Macaca fascicularis: one gene and its partners. The protein of the gene in region 3 purifies or fractionates together with the protein of the main gene of each other region. This does not show direct contact. Links are inferred from orthologs where the notes say so. Each region holds a gene or a part of one and is shown on either strand. Other genes may lie near its edges.

Region 1 (4,839 bases), on a different chromosome or scaffold from region 3:
TTAACATTTATTGGTGCTTGTGGAGCGAGTGCCCCACAGAATCTGAAACACTGTAGATGCTAACATCATTTATAAAGAAAAGATGATTTTCTATAAAAGGGGGCTAAACTGGAAAAAGGAAATAACATGTTATAAAACCCAAAGTAAATAAACAAAAATAGAATAATCAAAATATATCATCACACAAAATTCTCAAGCTATCCCAGGACCCCACACTCTGCTGTGAAGCCCATATTTACAATGCAGGGGCTGTTTTAAACCCCTGCCTACTTCAAAACACAGAAATGGGGGCTTAGAATTAGAGTCATGATTATCTTGGCCTTTGACCTTTATGATAAAACCTGAGATCCAGGGTAATCAAACTCAAATTCACATTACTAAGTATGTGACAGAAGCATCTTAGCCTATGTCATTTCTGGCTCCTGAGGGCTATCATTGGGATGGGCACTAATGCTACTGTTATTATTCAGATTCCCCATTTAAAATGTATCTTACTAATGGTATCCAATTGAATGTCAGAAGTTTTACAGTCTGGGCCAAATTATTAGGTGACAGTGGCTGCCACCTCATCCTTGCCCTCCACAACTTGCCCATATTTCAAGCAGTATGTCTTAAGGACACACTGGCAGCATCCCATTCCCTTTCTTCTCCCACTCTCCCGGTCCGGCACTCTCTCTAAATATAAGGGGTGGAAGGGTGCATGATGGTCAAATATAGGTAACAGACTGTAGCTTGAGTACCATCTAAATCTCATCTGTCGCTTCCAGAGTGTGGGATGTAAATACAGGTGAAATGCTAAACACGTTGATTCACCATTGTGAAGCAGTTCTGCACTTGCGTTTCAATAATGGCATGATGGTGACCTGCTCCAAAGATCGTTCCATTGCTGTATGGGATATGGCCTCCCCAACTGACATTACCCTCCGGAGGGTGCTGGTCGGACACCGAGCTGCTGTCAATGTTGTAGACTTTGATGACAAGTACATCGTTTCTGCATCTGGGGATAGAACTATAAAGGTAATAAGGCATTTTTCAGTAAGTTTCCAACTTAGAATGGGGAAATTCATATGAAAATTTGATCAGGGGCAATTTCATATTTAAACATTGGTGCAGAAAAATGTAATATTTAATTCAGAGACTATTCTACAAGTGAAAAGGTAATAAGTGAGACGTTGTGTGACAATTTGGCCGAGGTATTTTATTCCTATAAATAATGGTGAGTGTGAGAAGATACTAACCCTAGAAGAGTAAATCAATTTGAGGAATTCTCATGTGATAACAGCCAACTGCAAATTAGCCTCTGTTACCATGAATTTAAATTGTCCTTTGTTTTATTTGTTTGAGAAGTTGACTTCCCTCTAATGGTTCAGCCCTGTTTTCTGCTTCCCTAAGACTCCAGTTGCCATAGATTTTACCAGTAAAAGCACCAAATCAACTGCTCAATGCCATTTTCTTTTTCAGGTATGGAACACAAGTACTTGTGAATTTGTAAGGACCTTAAATGGACACAAACGAGGCATTGCCTGTTTGCAGTACAGGGACAGGCTGGTAGTGAGTGGCTCATCTGACAACACTATCAGGTGAGCACCTAGTACCTTGTATCATAAGGGATCGATATTATGCTCCCATTCATTACTAATGCACAGATCATACAAGTCTGTAATTTTGTTATGTTTATAATCAACTGTGTTTCCTTTCTGTAGCTTCTTACAGATCAGAAGTTTGCCCCAAGCAGAGAAGCAGCACAGCAAAGCCTTTTGTTGCCCTTCTTTTTAAATTTCTCCTGTCTACAGTTGAAAAGTGCTAATAAACAGCTAAAAGCCTTTTCTTTGCCATTGTTTTCAAGAAATGAAAAGATTTGTTTCCTTACTAGAAATTATGTAATTTTTGTCTTAGCATTACATAATTGGCCAGAGTTACCTGTATTTGAAATTATGAAGGTTTCACAGTTGGAAGCCCTTTTTGGGGTGTTCTCTTCACAAAGACGAATGACATAGTCATGATTAGAATTTGGAAGATTTATCCATCATTACCCTTCAGTGAAGTACTAAAAGGATGAAAAGGCCATTAAAAAAACAACAGATAGAGCTACTGTTTGTTATATCTAAGGAAATTATTCCTAGAAGTCACTTGAATTGCTCTGAAAACATACAGTTTTTTAAATTAGTACACAAAAGTTTTTGAGAACTGACTTTGCATTTCCATTCTCTGAGAATAACTGTCCTGGACAGTGGTAAAAGAAGTGTCCACCATGGCAGAGGGGGAGGTGCTTTGTGAGAACAGGACATCGCTGATAATCTGTATCTTATTCAGTTTGATGACTTCAGGAAACTACTTTCTTAGCTCAGTCATTTCCTGCTCAGGCAACTGTGTGCATTGAGTTCGTTTTTATACCTGGAAGAACCTGTTTACAGAATTATATAAAGCACTGTGCTTTGAAAATACATTTTATGTTTGAACTTAAACCTACATTTTTCTGTGTGAGTTATATAGCAGAAAGGAAATAAATTACATTGAAAGCAGTACATATCTGTGTGGGTGGTGATTGATTTTATTTTGTGAATTTTTAGAAGGCATATAAAGTGTATTATAACATTCCAGGCTTAGAAAAGAATACGTGAAAATTCACTTGACTCAATTTTCTCTTCCAGATTATGGGACATAGAATGTGGTGCATGTTTACGAGTGTTAGAAGGCCATGAGGAATTGGTGCGTTGTATTCGATTTGATAACAAGAGGATAGTCAGTGGGGCCTATGATGGGTGAGTGTGCTAACAGGGTGTAAAAAGAGAAAATCTACGTCTTAATCCTTCCTTATGTTTATGGTGTTAAACATTACCATTCCTTGTTTCTAAAGCTTATAGATTTTACACAAAGTGATACCATATTTCTTTAATCTGTATATTTACCTCTCCTTGGTTTAGTGTCCTGAAATATTCTTTCCAATCATTTTATTATACTTGTTTGCACATGGTTGTCATTCATATTTTGGTTATTTGGTTATGTATTTCACTGTTTTGCCCTGTAAAGCAAAACAAGAAAAACCCAGTGTTAACAGGCTACCCATGTAAAGTGGTAACCTGTTAACAAAACACAAACACTAGAGGGCAGTATTTGGGGATTTAGTGTGGTAAGATCTCCAATTTTGATCTCTTGGATTTTTTATCTCTTTTAGTAATTTTTAAAAGTACAGTTCTCTTGTCATCACTTGTCATCCTAGCATTTCATTTATGAGTTTAGTCATCTTTATTTTCTTCTAATTTCTAGTGGTTATGGAATCCATTAATGTTGTGAATGGACCCCACGTCCACCAATCCTAAGCACAGTGGCTTGTGCATGTAATCCCAACACTTTGGGAGACCGAGACAGGTGGATACTTGAGGTCAGGAGTTCAAGACCAGCCTGGCCAACATGGCAAAACCCAGTCTCTACTAAAAGTACAAAAATTAGCCAGGTGTGGTTGCAGGTGCCTGTAATCTCAGCTACTCAGGAGACTGAGGCAGGAGAATTGCTTGAACCAGGGAGGCAGAGGTTGCAGTGAGCCAAGATTGCACCACCATGCTCCAGCCTGGGCGACAGAGCAAGACTCCGTCTCCAAAAAAAAAAAAAAAAAAAAAAAAGTTATTCACTTACGAAGGACTCCTTATCATTTCTTTTTGTCAAACTGCCTGATTTGGGGGGTGAAGGGTAGAAAGCTACAGTTCAAATATTGGCAACTTTTTAAATATCAGAAACTAACAACATTATTTTAGTTCATGAGCTAACTATACTGATACATTAATTAGCCAATGCAAGCAGCAAGAAGCTGCTCACTTCTTCTGCTTTGGGTCAGCCATCACTGTTACAACCTTGGGAAACTGTTCAGAGTGTGGTGACATGTTCCAGCTTGGTCAAGACAATATTTTCTTATTGCCCTGGCTTTGATCTGTACCCACCTGTCTTGGAATTTGTCTGTTATGTACCTTGAGGAAACATGGCCTATAAAAGGTTGTTGGAAGAGCTACACTTATTTAAATCAAAAGATGAGGGCTTACTTATATAAACTCCATTGCTCTTACATGGACCCCAGTCCCTCAGTACATGTGACCTGGGCCACTCTTAGAAGTGACCAGGAAGAGGATGCCTCAGAGTTGTAGATTTCTAGGTCTATGTAATATCATTAGGAGGTCTAATGTACAAGATCTCCTCTTGATCCCAAAGTGTGGTTTAACTTTACTATTAAATGTCTTCAGTTTGGTTAAAGCTAGCCTGTTTCTCATTTGTAGGTTAATCACGTACATTTCAACTATACTCACCATCCATATTTATTGCCATGAATTTCTGCTGTTCTTCCCTGTGTTCTCTTACTTTTGCTTTTAACTAGCATTTTTGTCCCCTTTTTGATCTTTAGAAAAATTAAAGTGTGGGATCTTGTGGCTGCTTTGGACCCCCGTGCTCCTGCAGGGACACTCTGTCTACGGACCCTTGTGGTAAGAGCCTTGCTGTTAGAGCATTGGAGAGCAGGTGGGGGAAGAAATTAAACATTGATGTGCTGTGGAATATGGATTTGAATTTAATAGTTACAACCTCACAAAACCTACAACTAAGTGGTAAGGCAACCAGTACATGACAATAAAATATGTTTATATAATTCCTTTCATCCAAAAATGCTTTAGAGACTATATATGGAGAGAAATGTGGCAGCTGTTTAACAGCTGCACAGAAACTCTACACAACAGTTTAGTGCAGGAAGTGAATAAGAATTCTGTATCCACCAGAAACAGCAGGGGGTACTAAGGGAGAGAGAATATAATTACTCAAATTGGAACCTGTCCAAAATCTGAGGACCTGTACACCTGT
Region 2 (3,528 bases), about 96 Mb from region 3:
CAAGTCTGAGTTATCGGTGCTGAGTCCCAGGTCTGTGGCGCTTGCACCATGGAGGTTTGCCATGCCTGGATTGCTAGCAAGCTGAGAAAGCATTGAATTCTGGTCCGGGCTGGCAAAATGCCCTTGTTCCATGGGGTTGGCCTGGGCAGCTACCAGTCCAGGATGCGGGGAACTTGTCTGTGGGGAAACGTGGTGTGGAGAAGGCTGAGGCTGCATCCTTGGAGAAGGGCTGGAGTGGGGGGGCTGGGACTGTGGCCGTGGAGAAGGGACAGGCTGCGGAGAGCGCACTTGATTGGAGAGAGAATTAGGGATCTGCTGGCCTTGTAGGTGTGGAGACTGGGCCTGATTTGGGAGCATATGCTGCTGGGGGCTCATGGGGTTGGGCTGAGCAGGAGACCCCATCTGTTGCTGAAGGAGTCGCTGCTGATAGGCCTGTAGACTGGCACCTGCCTCTGCTCCCAAGGCCTGGGGGAGCTGGCCCATCTGTCCCATATTTCCTTGTTGCATCTGTTGCATGTGATGTTGCATCCGCTGCTGCTGCTGTGGTGGGTAGCCAACTCCTTGGGGTTGCTGGAACTGGTTATGGTTAGCCATTCCTGGGCCTATTCCTGGCCCTGCTCCCTGTTGCTGCTGCTGTTGCATCATCTGTTGTCGTCTCAAGATGTCTCGGAATTGTGAAGGCATGGTGTTGTGGTTCATGTTCATCTGCTGAGACTGGGGGCTCATCCCTCCCATGGGCGGCTGGAGTTGCTGCTGGGGTTGCTGCTGGGGCAGGCCAGCCCTCTGGACGCCCGCCTGCATTGGATTCATGTTCTGCATGGCTGGATTGGAGTGGACCCCCTGCTGACCTGGCATGGTAGGTGGCTGCAGCCCTGGCTGCCCCTGGGGCATGCCAGGCTGCCCAGGGATGGGTTGTGGATTAGAGTTGGCATACTTGGCAGCCCGCTGCTTGATGAATGCAGCCAACAGCTGGGGGTTGGCGTGAAGGATACTAAGCACCTGTTGCTGCTGTAGGGGAGAGCTGGGAGACCTGAGAGTCCGCAAAAGGTTTTGTAAGGCTTGTTGAGACACAGTGCCTGGTTTGAGTGGGCTCACACCTACCTGGCCCAATCCTGGTTGTGGAGCCATGTTCAAGGGTTGACCATGCTGGGCCACTGACATCATGGCTGGCCTTGGCATCCCAGACTGTAGTTGCTGGGGCTGAGGCAATCCTCCTTGGCCCCAGGGTGGCTGTTGCTGCATCCCCGTCGGTCCCATCCCTGGCTCCAAATGCCCACTGGGACCTCTGGTCATGGGAGGTGGGTTCATACCCATGGGGGCCATGGGAGTCATCGGGGGCATCTGATGTTGGATTGGCCTTTGAAAAATTTGCACGTGGGCCATCTGGCGCTGCGTCTCTGCTGCTCTCTGAATCTGCATTGCCATTTCCACTGCTGCAGGTGGGGGCCCTGGAAGGGGTGGCTGAGCAGTCTGAGGAGGGGTTGGAGGGGTCACCTGGCCTGCTGCCTTACCCTGGGACACAGGGCCAGCAGCTTGAGTCCTGGGCAAGTAGGGTGGCATACTATTGGGAGGGGTAGGCTGAGGCTGAGAGGTGGGCTGGGGCGTCTGTGGGGTGGTTGGCTGTTGGCCAGTTGGTGTCGTTGGAGTGGCAGGAGTGGGGGAAGGGAGGCCCTGTTGCTGCCCGACCACACCAGTCCGCTGCATGCTGGCCATCCTTCTGCGAAGCATTTGGGCCTGTTGTAGTCGGTGCTGCAGCTGCTGCTGCCGGAGCTTCTGCTTGATGTTTAGGCAGAACGGCACTGGGCATTTGTTCTCCTGGCAGTGCTTGGCATGGTAGCAGCAGAGGGCGATGAGCTGCTTGCAGATGGGGCACCCGCCATTGGTTTTCCGTTTGCAACCCTTGGTATGCTGCACAACCCGCTTCATCTTCTGGCAGGATGGCAGGGAGCAATTGGCATTCCGACACTGGCAAGCATGGACCAGAGACTGGATGCAGCGCTGGATACTCAGGCGGCGAGAATCGCCTGGGCTCTGGGTGGCTGCAGCCTGCTGGTTGTTGCTCTCATCATCTAAGCCAAGACCTAGTTTCTCCATTTTGTGGTCATGGTTTTTAGTGTTATAGCAGGTGATACACAAGTCATAATCCTAGAGAAAAAACAGGAAGTGCAGGTAAACTCTCCAAGATTTAAGTCATTCAAAAGTATTTTGGATACTCTCTGGGCTGGAAAAGCCCCTTTTGTAGAACAAAAACCAGCCTCTTCAGCTCTGCCTCGCAAACACAAGGCCAGGCCCCTGCCATCCCACAGGCCTATATACAACACGAGGCTGCATGGCCCCTCAGAACAACCCTGCAGAGCTCACCTCCTTGTTCCCACAACCCAGTGCCTACCTCACAGACAGTACAGTGCCAGCGTGTCTCCACATGGTGCTTGCATTCATTGCAGGTGTAGACAAAGCGGTCCTGGCTCTGCGTGTGCAGCTCCACCAGCATGCACATGGTGGACCACTGGGCTCTTCGGAGTGAAGAGAACTCCAGGTGCTTGTCTCTTGCCAGCGTGAGAAACGCATCCCGACCATCCATCAGATCACAGGGGATGAGAGGGTCAGGATCAACAATGGGAGGCAGGGAGTTGGCAGTAGGGCCAGCAATGAGGCGGATCACAAAGAAGACCTGCAAAACACACAATCTCTTTTTTTGAGACAGGGCCTCGGTCTGTCACCCAGACTGGAGTGCAGTGGTGTGCTCTTGGCTCACTACAACCTCTGCCTCCTGGGCTCAAGCAATTATCCCACCTTGGCTTCCTGAATAGCTGAGACCACAGGCCCACACCACCACGCCTGGCTAATTTCTGCATTTTTTGTAGAGACGAGGTTTTACCATGTTACCCAGGCTAGTCTCAAACTCCTGAGCTCAAGTGATCTGCCTGTTTCAGCCTCCCAGAGTGCTGGGATTACAGGTGTGAGCAGGTAAAGCAGGCTAAGCATCAATGAGACTGGCGAATGCTTAGTTTTTTTTTTTTTTTTTTTTTTTTTTTGAGACAGTGTCTCTGTCACCCAGGGTGGAGTGCAGTGGCCAGATCTCGGCTCACTGCAAGCTCCGCCTCCCGGGTTTACGCCATTCTTCTGCCTCAGCCTCCCGAGTAGCTGGGACTACAGGCACCTGCCACCTCGCCCGGCTAGTTTTTTTTTTTTGTATTTTTTTAGTAGAGACGGGGTTTCACTGTGTTAGCCAGGATGGTCTCGATCTCCTGACCTCGTGATCCGCCCGTCTCGGCCTCCCAAAGTGCTGGGATTACAGGCTTGAGCCACCGCGCCCGGCCATGCTGAGTTAGTTTTACCATACTCCTCCTGCTCTCTTTTCCTGCTTTACCTTTTTGGTATCTTGAGACTGACTATAAATAGAACTGAAATGCACATCCTGTGATTTTTTCTCCCTTATTCAATAACTCCTTCAGAGTAAGAATGGTCTAGGTCAGGTAGAGCACCACACACAGTGGACATTTTGCCCCAAGGCAGTCTACTTTAAGA
Region 3 (5,268 bases):
GCCTGAGCACTACTCCACTCTGCCATTACTCAGCAGCCTCCCCACGCCAGGCCTGAAGCGTTTGCTGATTGCATTCTAAGTCTTCATGTGAATGAGAAGGGTAAGTTCACCCTTGTGAACTAAGGGCTGACTCTAGAGGTCTGGAAAAGGGGCTGGAGTCCATTTGTAAGACTGGAGTTACGATGGCACCCCCCTTCCCTTCCCAGGGCTGTTGGTGAAGTCCCGAGCACTACCTCCTGCACAGTAAGTGCTCTAAGTGTGATGAGACACAAACCCGAACAAAAGGGGAAGGAGACATTCTAGGACATGATGGGCTGGGGGCGGGGGCTGCACGCATATGCAGGAGGCACTGACCCCCACTCCTCAGATCCCTCGCCCCCCAGACGCCTTCATGGTACTCCTGGCAAGTGTGAAATCGGCACCAGGCCGGTGGGGACAAAGGGCGCCGAGGGGGGCACCGTACATGCGATACCCCCGGATTAAAGGGGCCTGCCACGCAGTGCGCCAGCAGCTGCGACTGGAACAGGTGCTGGGCACCCCTGCCCCATGCACCTGCTCCACCCCTCCCAGCCCCCACCCACTGGGCCCACCATTAAGGCACACAATGGGAGTCAATGAGGACCGAAATGATACATTTCAAGGGGATTTCTGTGCCTCAGCCATGCCTTTACATTAAAATAATGTCCGGATGGGAGGCGAGAGAGGCAGGCAGGAGAGCAGCATCCTGAGGGGTTCAAATCTCCCAAAATAGAGCCCTGTGAGCTGGGCAGGCACGGGGAGCCCAGCAGTTGGACCTTTACATGTTAAAATCAGGGCTACTGGTGCAGGAAGGAAAAGAAATGGGTAGCCTTAGTCGAATAAGATGCCAATAAAGCCCGCGAAATGCCAGTCCTCCCAGATACCTCACTGACCCTCACTGCTCAGAGGTCAGGCGCCGGGCCAGGAATGGTAGAACCTGGCCAGCTTGAACCCTGTGGAATCTTCTCCCTCAACTGTCCCTCTCCAAAGAGCAGCTCCAGGCACAGTGGCTGCCACCGTTCAAGTTCTAAAAAGTTCTACCTTTTCTCCATGTCCAGAAAGTTTTCTACATATTTAGTAAATTTTCGAAAGACGTGATTGTGTTTTCTGCCCTAAAATTGCTGTTTTCTGGTGTGTGTGCTAGGATTGAGTGGGGGTGGGGAAGCCGACCTGAGAACTATTCGGGTATAATAAATTACTATAAAGTGATTAGCCACCTTTACAGCCACTCTCTTTTTTTTTTTTTTTTTTTGAGACGGAGTCTCGCTCTGTCGCCCAGGCTGGAGTGCAGTGGCCGCATCTCAGCTCCGCCTCCCGGGTCTACGCCATTCTCCTGCCTCAGCCTCCCGAGTAGCTGGGACTACAGGCGCCTGCCACCTCACCCGGCTAGTTTTTTGTATTTTTTTTAGTAGAGACGGGGTTTCACCATGTTAGCCAGGCTGGTCTCGATCTCCTGACCTTGTGATCCGCCCGTCTCGGCCTCCCAAAGTGCTGGGATTACAGGCTTGAGCCACTGCGCCCGGCCTACAGCCACTCTCTAAAACATATGCCATCATAATTCTCCCGAGTCTCAGAGAGGTTAAGTTGCTTGCCCAAAGTCACACAGCAGGGAAGCAGAGCAAATGCCAAGGAACCATTTTTGTGACAGTTTAGCAGGTACCCGGCACTTTGCCAGGTGATTCCCATATGCATTCCTGCATTTAGCCCGTACAGAAACCCCACAAGCTGTTCTCATGCCCATCTGAAAGATAGAGAAAATGAGGCTCACAGAAGTGAAACATCAGCCTAAGCTTTGAGAAAGTTCTCAAAGGATTCAGAGCCAGGTGGGGGGTCTGACAACATCCTGTCTGGCTAGGGAGGGGGCGGACCGGGAGAGGGTGGGGCTGGGTGGGCCCCTTCACACCTGTGGCCCCCAGAGCAAGGTGTTGGTTGCACTTTTCCGATATCCAGCTCCAGCCCATTTGGCTGAGAAACAGGCTGCAGGGATTGGGAAGGTGTCTGCTTTGCTCATCTGCTTAGCTGATGAAGGAACGTTTCTGCCAAACATTTCCAGAGAGCAGGCCCCTGAACTTGAGCTAGAAGTTAGGAGACTCGGGGCCTCAGTGTCCACAACTTTGCGAATGAGAACAGCAAGTCCCAATTCACAAAGCTGCCACAGAAAGCAACGGTGGGGGCGCCTGGAGGGGCACTTACCAGTGTGGGTCCGGACATGGCCTTGTAGCAGCCAGGGCCTGGAGAAGGCCTTCCCGCAGGTTCCGCAGACGCAGGGCAGCGTGTGGCTTCGGATGTGCATCTTGAGGGCACCCAGGCTGAGGTATTCCTTGTTGCAGTATTTGCAGTTGAAGGCCTTTCGAGACTGGAGATCCTTGGCCTCAGAGAGCTGGGCCAGCTGCTTGGGCACTTGGCCCAAGCCTGGGAAGGCAGCATAGGCCTCAGCCTCCAAGGAAGAGGCTGAAGTAGAGGAGAAGGACGAAGTAGCCGGTGAGGGTGGGCTGGGAGGCTGGGAGCCTTTCCCACTGTCCTCGTCCGACAGGGAGGTCAGCTCTGCCGCCCTGGGACTCTCCTGGGGCCGAAGGGAGGCCCAGGCAATTGGCTGGGCTTGGGGCGCCAGGACAGAGTCCCAGATGAGCATTGGCAGCGAGGCGGTGGGATTGAGGATCTCTGGAGGTGGGATGGCTGCCAGCAGGTGGGCCTGGTCGTAGGGCTGCTGGAAGGTAAACTCTGAGAGAGAAAAAGCAGAGTCAGGCGTTAATTAAATCATTCACTCAATCAACAAACATGAACCCACCGCTGGCCAGGGGCTGGGTAGGGCTGATTCTCAACACATAATTAGATCAAAAAAATGATCCACAGGACAGACCAGGTTCCTGCCCTCCTGGCCCAGGTCACCCAATCTGAGTCTCTCACAGGTAGGACCCCCAGTTGAAGGGGGTCATTTCCAGATCTCCCTCTCCTAAGTCCCAAGTCCCCAGCCTGAGGCCAGAACCCCATCACCCCAGCCCTGGAGCCACCACCCTGCCCCAATCCCCCTCCTCACACACATCTCGTCTCCCCACCCCTCCCCTCAACCCTCTGGACTCCGGACTCTCCCCAGCAGCGTCCAGAGGGCCTTCCTGACACAGGCCTCCTCTCCCACTCTCGCGGAGCTCCTCCGCCTCTCGCCGGCTACACAGGCCACCCAAGCACAAAACCCCTGCTCTCTACACAGCACTCCCCCAACCACCCAGACCGATCCCCAGGACTGGGGACCCACCTGCCCGGTCTCCCGAGCCCGAGCCCGAGCCCGCAATGCTCCACAAAACACCCTGTGACTCGATCCTGGCTCAGACAGGCCGCCTCCCTCAGGTGGCCCCCACGCAGCCTTCGCCTGTCTCCCCCAAACCTCCTGGAGCCCACCACCCCTCCAACACACCTGGATTAGAGTCCTGCAGCTCGCTGTAGTTAGGCTTCCGATTGGGGTCGGAGGGCTTTCTGACGAGGAAAGAGCGCGGCATGGTGGCCGAGGCACTGGGGTCGCCGAGTCGCGCAGGAGCAGCGCAAACGTACCACTCACAAGGCCGGACCGCGGCGCAATGAGAGCAGCCGCGCCGCCAACTCCCTTAAATACTCCAAGGGGGTGGGAGGGGAGGGGCCTCATCTGCCACGCCCCTTTGTCACCTCCGCGCCAATCGGAGGCCCGTCTCCGCCGAAGGCCACTCCCCGAGCAGGTGCGCCGGGGGCTGGCCGGGCTCGCGCCGCGTGGCGCTGGGAGCCCGGGCGGGGGCTCCTCCGAGGCGGAGTTCGCAGGCGCAGCGCGGGTCGTCCGTGGTGCTCGGACTGTCCGGGGCGGGACGTCGAGCGAAGCGAGGCCCCTGCGAGGTGGGACCCCGCCAGAACGCCGCGCGCCCACCTGCTCAGCGCCCCGTGGTCGGAGCGCTTCTGACGCCCCCTGGCGCTGCGCGCGGGCCGGGACACCTGACCTTCCGACGCCCGCCCCCGCCTCGGGCTTAGGAGGGGGCGGAAATTTCCTCCGCCCGGCTGGCGCCTGGAGAGCGTGGCATTGACGAGGGAAATGCACATTGCTGGGGAGGAAGCGAGGAAACGGACACCGCACGTGGCTCCTGGCGGCGTGAAATGCTACGGCCGTTTTGCAAAGCAGCCTGGCCCAGCTAGCGAAGAGCGCCCGTTCCTTCCCTTAGCCAGTGTTTGCGGAGGGCCCAGCTGTACCTGGGGCAGGGCACAGCCCCGGACAGGACATTCAAGGCCTCTCCCGAAGGGTAGCTCCCGGTCCAGTGGGGGAGACAGACGAAGTAAACAGACAATTACAATGCAAAGGGAAGTGTGCTTTGGCGGGGGAGAGACGGGACGCAGCGACCGTTAAGAGGCGGGTCACCTGACAGGGGGTCGGGGTGACTTCCCAGAGGAAGTGAAGAATTATCAAGGGAAAAGGCCCGAGGGAAGAAGTGGCAACTGCTTCAGAGTAACTCCTAGAGAGCAGCTCTCAGGGATGGCGTGGGGTGGGCAGGCCCGGAGGGGTCAGATGTGCTGTGCCCCAGGGCCTCGTAGGAGGTTGGACTTTGCCTCAAAGGCACTGGGGAGCCACCGAAGGATTTTCAGCTGACGAGGGACCTGGTTAGAGTTTCGTAGAAAAAGATCCTTGTAGGCCGGCGGGAGAAAGAAGGGATGGGCCGGGCGTGTCTCCTCACCCCTGTGAAGATCCTCGATCCTGTGTCTAAAGGCTCTAACGTTGCTCTGTAGGGGCCCTGACTGAATGCATGTGGGGTGGGCCCAGGTGAGGGGCAGCTGCACCCCCACCCCAGCTTCCCTGGGAGGCATACCAGGCCCGGGAGTAGCGCTGAAATAAACCTCACAGGTCTCACCGTTCTTGTTTCCACCTGTGAAGGAAGACTAGAAAAACCTATAAGCACCCCACACCACCACCAGCAACATGAAGGGCAGAACTACTGTCTGTTTTGGTCACTTGGTGCCGGATGTAACAGCCGTGAACAAAATCGTCTTCCCCTGTTTCTAGCTGGAGAGTGGGGAGTAGGGTGGAGGACATAGGCAGGAAGCAGTTATTAGGCGGAATACTCTCCCTCCCGTGTCAATTTAGCTCCAATCAGGATCCTCTGCTGGAAGCCAGAGTGAGGCCAGAGCACCCCCTCCTCTGCTCAAACCCTCCCATGCGCCTGTCTCAGAGTAAAAGCCAAAGTCCTTTCCTCGGCCAACTCGGCCCCGCTGCTCTGACCCCGGCTGACCTTGGCTTGAGCC
Region 4 (4,480 bases), on a different chromosome or scaffold from region 3:
GTATACCTGTGTAACAAACCTGCATGTTCTGCACATGTACCCTAGAACTTAAAGTATAATAGAATAAAAAAAATGAAGTTAGGCATAAAATAATGGGTACTGTAGTTACACAGGATTCAAAATATCAAAATAAATCGAGTTGTATATGTGAGGATAGTGATTACCTTCGTGGGCTGTGACTTGAAGGGAGCTCATCTGGATCTGCTGGGGTGCTGGGAATGTTCTGGTTCTGTATGGGTTCTATTACAGGATTCCATTCAACTTTTTACAAAAAGAATCATTGATGTGAATGCTATGTGCACTTTTCTGAATGCACATATATGTCAATAAAAAATGTAAAAAACTACACATTCCTGATCATTAAGAACAGGAGCCCCAACCCCCTGGCCGTGGACTGGTACAGGTCCATGGCTTGTTAGGAACCGGGCCACACAACAGGTGAGTAGCAGGTGAGCATTAGTCAGAAAACTTTGCCCAAGAAAGACGCATTCCAGAGAGAAATATCATTAAAATTGGATATTCCAAGGGGCACGGGAGTTGGCCAGTTTTCTAGAAGAATACTGAAAGCATAGGGCAGCCCAGCCTTGACCTTGCAGGGACAGAGAGCTCCAGGAACTTTGATGTTATCACTCGTCACTTACTGAGAACATGGACAGAAGGTGCTTCAGGTCCGTGAGGGTCAGAGATGCAGAGGTCCACAGAGCTACCCCAACCCTAGGAGAACTTTGTATTTCAAAAGCAGGTGTTCCATCATGGTAAGGAGGTAATATCCCCTCAGGCAGCGATCAGAGCCCAGATGGCCTTCTATCACCACAGCGGCTATGATGGGGAAGGCTGTAATGGGGAAGTACAGAAGATTCTTGACCTGGGTCTTCAGTCCAAGATCAAATATTTCAAATGGAGAAGAGGGGACAGCCCAGGCAGGAAAAAAACGTGCAATGTTAAAGACACGTTACTATTAATCATATTCAGAGTTATCAAGTATTTCAGGATTAAGGAACGAGGACTGAATGAGATAGACTGAGACACGGTTTTTTAAATTTTATTTTTTACTTTTAGGAAGTCTTTTTGCAAACCATACAAGATATAATAGAGATCTCATCAAAGATGACACCCTAGAGATGGAGAGGAGAAAACAAAACTTAAGTCCCATAAAGAAGGCAGAAACACGTTTTTGGTTGATCAAGATGAGTTTGGGCCAAATATAAGGAGGGAATCACAAAGCCATCTGGGGCAGGAATGTTGATGATGAAGTGACTTCCCTGCTAAAGCTCGCTTGCTGGGATCCAGATGCCTCTGCAGAGAGAAAGGTGGTTCAGAGTTCATGGGGAAAATAGGCAGGGTTTGTGGCTGAGAAGTGGTGCCAATGGGGAGAATGGCAGTGTCCAGAGAAAGCCATCAATAGTCAGTGGATCCTTGTGATCCAATATTTAGTGGACAGAGGGTTAGAGGGGCTGTGTTTCTTCCTCCGTCATTGAAACCAGGACTGAAGAAGGGCCGCAGAGGTCCTGTAAAGGCACATTCAGAGAAGGAGTAGATGAGGGAGCCATGGTCAGTGATGTTGTAGAAGGAGACCATGCCGGCCTCATAGTCCAGGAAAATCCCAATTTGGCATGGAGGCACCTGAAGGTGGAGGGGGGTCTGGGGGTAGGTGCCAGCCTCATATTTTTGTTTGTTCCACAACCAAATTGTCCAGAAGCCACTCTTGGAACTAAGCAAAAAGTGCCCCTTCCTGCGCACAGAGTCTCTGCAGACACCCAGGTCCCAGGCCTCCTTTCCTGTCACATCTACCTCCCAGTAATGTTTTCCAGAGTGGAAGTGCTGGGCACCCAGGACCATAGGATAACTATCAAATCTCTCTTCATTTCCAGGTATGCTCTGCTGGGTGTCTCCAAGCCTCACTTGTCTCCGATCTTCTGAAAGTATGAGCCATGGATTGGCTGTGTCTGGATCCAGAGTGATGTGGACTGCAGAGAGAGGACCATAGTCATGTCTTGCATGGGGGGAGTCACTAACTCTGTGCCTGTGGTGGGGGGATTTTGGGCAAGCATGAGGGGTCAACCTCCCTGTGTGAGGAAATGACCATCAGCCAGTTCTTGCCTTGGTCCTGACCTTTGAAGAAACCATCTTCCTTACCTCCATCTCTGCTCCCCCTGCTCTGACCTTCCATCTCTCCTCCAAGTTGCCATCCAGGCTCCCTGACCCTGGGATCTACTCTGCACCCCCATTATCCCCCGCAAAATTCCTAGAGCTTGCCTCACCTGCACATGTCCTCAGCATCTTCTTCAGCCCTGGCACATGGCACACACTCCTGAGTTCTGGAGAGGCAATATCCAGGCCCTTCAGGTTCCAGGACTCACTCCTGGGGGAAAGAGAGTTTGAGACTCCTGTCTCTTACTCCTATCCCAAACCCTAACACTATAACCTCCATTGTGGAGGACTCTGATAATTTAATTCAACTCAAATTTACAAACACTTCTGGTGTTCAAGTCTTCAGGGGTGGGTGTGAGAGGCAAACAATGCAGGATTTAGTTTCTACCCAGGAGTTCCTGGTTATAGGCTGCAGCATGTGGACAGTCTGTCTCTCCTCTCTAAGCCTGAGGTCACCTGGCAAATGCATTCAATTTCATTTTATAGGCAATCCATCTGAGACAGGCTGAATCACTTCTGCAAGGAACCTCAAGGAGTCTTGCCCACACTGTGGGTCTGACTCATGGCTCTTTTTGGGAGGTAACTTGTTAGATTCCACTGAGAAAAGGAGTTCCAGCTGGCCATGCTCCAGTAGTCTGAATTCTGGAAAGACACAGAACTTCCCAGGATTTCCCTGTTTGGCAGGGCTTTACTGTGTGAAGATGTTACGATCCAACTACTGTGGGCAATCACCAACTAAGATGTCCACTTATTAGCTTTCTGAGACCAGAAAATATTTTATAGACAATGAAGTCTTTGAGAATAGGAAGCCAGATGGGGAAAACTTCAGTGCATGTATTTCTAATTCAATAACCTTTGTCATAGGCATATATGCTTTCTGCTGGCCCCTCTTCTAAAAAAGAAAACTCCTCCTTACCTTTCCAGGACAATTATCACCTCCTGAGGAGAAAAGAGACACAGAGTAAGTTCTGGATTGCTGGATTGCCACTGAGACATTAGCCCTGTGGGTGATGTGATCCATCTGTGGTCCCTGGGGAACTGTTCCTTTCCTTCCTCTGGTCCAAAGCCCCAAAGATGATTCTGACCAGCTTGAAGCAGAAAGGATGTGTGGATGCTTGTGAGGTAACCAGAAGCCCAGCATGGATGTGACCTACAGCTGGGGAAGGATTATCAGTTTGAGGACTCTGACTCAAAGACCAGATTTTTTTCCCCCAGGGGAGAAAGAAAGGAGGGCAGAGAGGGCACATAGCCCAGCTTGGCTTAAGCCCAATCACAGGCAGAGAATGGCCAAGTTCAGGTGTCTAGAAACTGCTCTGTTCCATTTGTGGGCTAGCATTGCTTGGGAAGGAAAGGTTGGTTAGTTAAAGTTCCCTTGGGTACTTAATGTTGCCCCTTCCTGTATGTGAAACCAAATCACTGAAAATATTTTTGTTATAGGGATTGGGAGCCATTACATGGGAGCTAGCAGGATCCTAGACTCAGTTAAAAGTATGTTAGAAAGCCTGGTTCATGGCCAGGCATGGTGGCTCACACCTGTAATCCCAGCACTTTGGGAGGCTGAGGTGGGAGTCTGAGGTTGGGAGTTCAAGACCAGCCTGACCAACATGGAGAAACCCCATCTCTACTAGGGATGCAAAATTAGCCAGGTGTGGTGATGTAAGGCTGAGGCAGGAGAATCGCTTGAACCCGGGAGGTGGAGGTTGCAGTGAGGCAAGACCGCGCCATTGTACTCCAGCCCGGGCAACAAGAGTGAAACTCCATCTCAAAATAAATAAATAAATAAATAATAAATAAATAAATAAATAAATAAGAAAGCCTGGTTTGGGCAGAAGAGAGCCTGTCAAGTCAACCCAATACAATTAGGTTTTCTGCACACACCAGAAAGCAATGGCTCATGACCACGCTGAGTCACAGTGAACAGGGGTGAAGAAAGAACTGTAGAATGTTAGAACAGAAGGGACTTGTGAGACGATCTAGTCCATCATTTCGTACAGTGAGGCAAACATATCATTGGTGGATGCAAGATGATTCTAAGTGCAACATACATTGATTTTTAAAAAGGTCCTATACTTATTTTCATCTTTACTTTGTGCCTTGAATGCAAACCATTCGTGGGTTTGAATTCTACTTTATTTAAGAACATTCCAGGGACCAGGTGTCCATTTATTCGAATGGCAGTTCCAGATAGCTCTGGTCTTTTTCAGTTATTCCCGGAATAGTAGAAGGGAACCCCTCCCTGTCTCACCTGCAGCAGTTCCAGTGCTGAGCCCTGGCGCCTTCTCTCTAGCTCTGAGATGAGCTCCTGCAGGGCCTGGCTCTGTTGGGCCAG

The links. Proteins that work in one complex are often made in the same cells at the same time.
Region 1: the proteins of SNAI1 (region 3) and BTRC purify together in Homo sapiens (affinity purification with western blotting; 7 studies listed by BioGRID and IntAct, with this or other methods). This does not show direct contact. The link is inferred for Macaca fascicularis from reciprocal best matches to the Homo sapiens genes SNAI1 and BTRC.
Region 2: the proteins of SNAI1 (region 3) and EP300 purify together in Homo sapiens (affinity purification with western blotting; 3 studies listed by BioGRID and IntAct, with this or other methods). This does not show direct contact. The link is inferred for Macaca fascicularis from reciprocal best matches to the Homo sapiens genes SNAI1 and EP300.
Region 4: the proteins of SNAI1 (region 3) and TRIM21 purify together in Homo sapiens (affinity purification with western blotting; 3 studies listed by BioGRID, with this or other methods). This does not show direct contact. The link is inferred for Macaca fascicularis from reciprocal best matches to the Homo sapiens genes SNAI1 and TRIM21.

Annotation. Positions count from the first base shown.
Region 1 is NC_088383.1:110,505,197-110,510,035, forward strand, and holds part of BTRC (F-box/WD repeat-containing protein 1A), read left to right. Parts: intron 1-767; coding exon 768-1,017; intron 1,018-1,461; coding exon 1,462-1,580; intron 1,581-2,651; coding exon 2,652-2,762; intron 2,763-4,390; coding exon 4,391-4,469; intron 4,470-4,839. UniProt on the Homo sapiens protein: Substrate recognition component of a SCF (SKP1-CUL1-F-box protein) E3 ubiquitin-protein ligase complex which mediates the ubiquitination and subsequent proteasomal degradation of target proteins. Recognizes and binds to phosphorylated target proteins.
Region 2 is NC_088384.1:10,439,772-10,443,299, forward strand, and holds part of EP300 (histone acetyltransferase p300), read right to left. Parts: intron 2,672-3,528; coding exon 2,390-2,671; intron 2,146-2,389; coding exon 1-2,145. UniProt on the Homo sapiens protein: Functions as a histone acetyltransferase and regulates transcription via chromatin remodeling. Acetylates all four core histones in nucleosomes. Histone acetylation gives an epigenetic tag for transcriptional activation.
Region 3 is NC_088384.1:106,067,098-106,072,365, reverse strand, and holds the start of SNAI1 (zinc finger protein SNAI1), read right to left. Parts: upstream 3,593-5,268; 5' UTR 3,513-3,592; coding exon 3,431-3,512; intron 2,740-3,430; coding exon 2,212-2,739; intron 1-2,211. UniProt on the Homo sapiens protein: Involved in induction of the epithelial to mesenchymal transition (EMT), formation and maintenance of embryonic mesoderm, growth arrest, survival and cell migration.
Region 4 is NC_088388.1:70,009,264-70,013,743, reverse strand, and holds the end of TRIM21 (E3 ubiquitin-protein ligase TRIM21), read right to left. Parts: coding exon 4,397-4,480; intron 3,091-4,396; coding exon 3,068-3,090; intron 2,363-3,067; coding exon 2,262-2,362; intron 1,968-2,261; coding exon 1,399-1,967; 3' UTR 1,027-1,398; downstream 1-1,026. UniProt on the Homo sapiens protein: E3 ubiquitin-protein ligase whose activity is dependent on E2 enzymes, UBE2D1, UBE2D2, UBE2E1 and UBE2E2.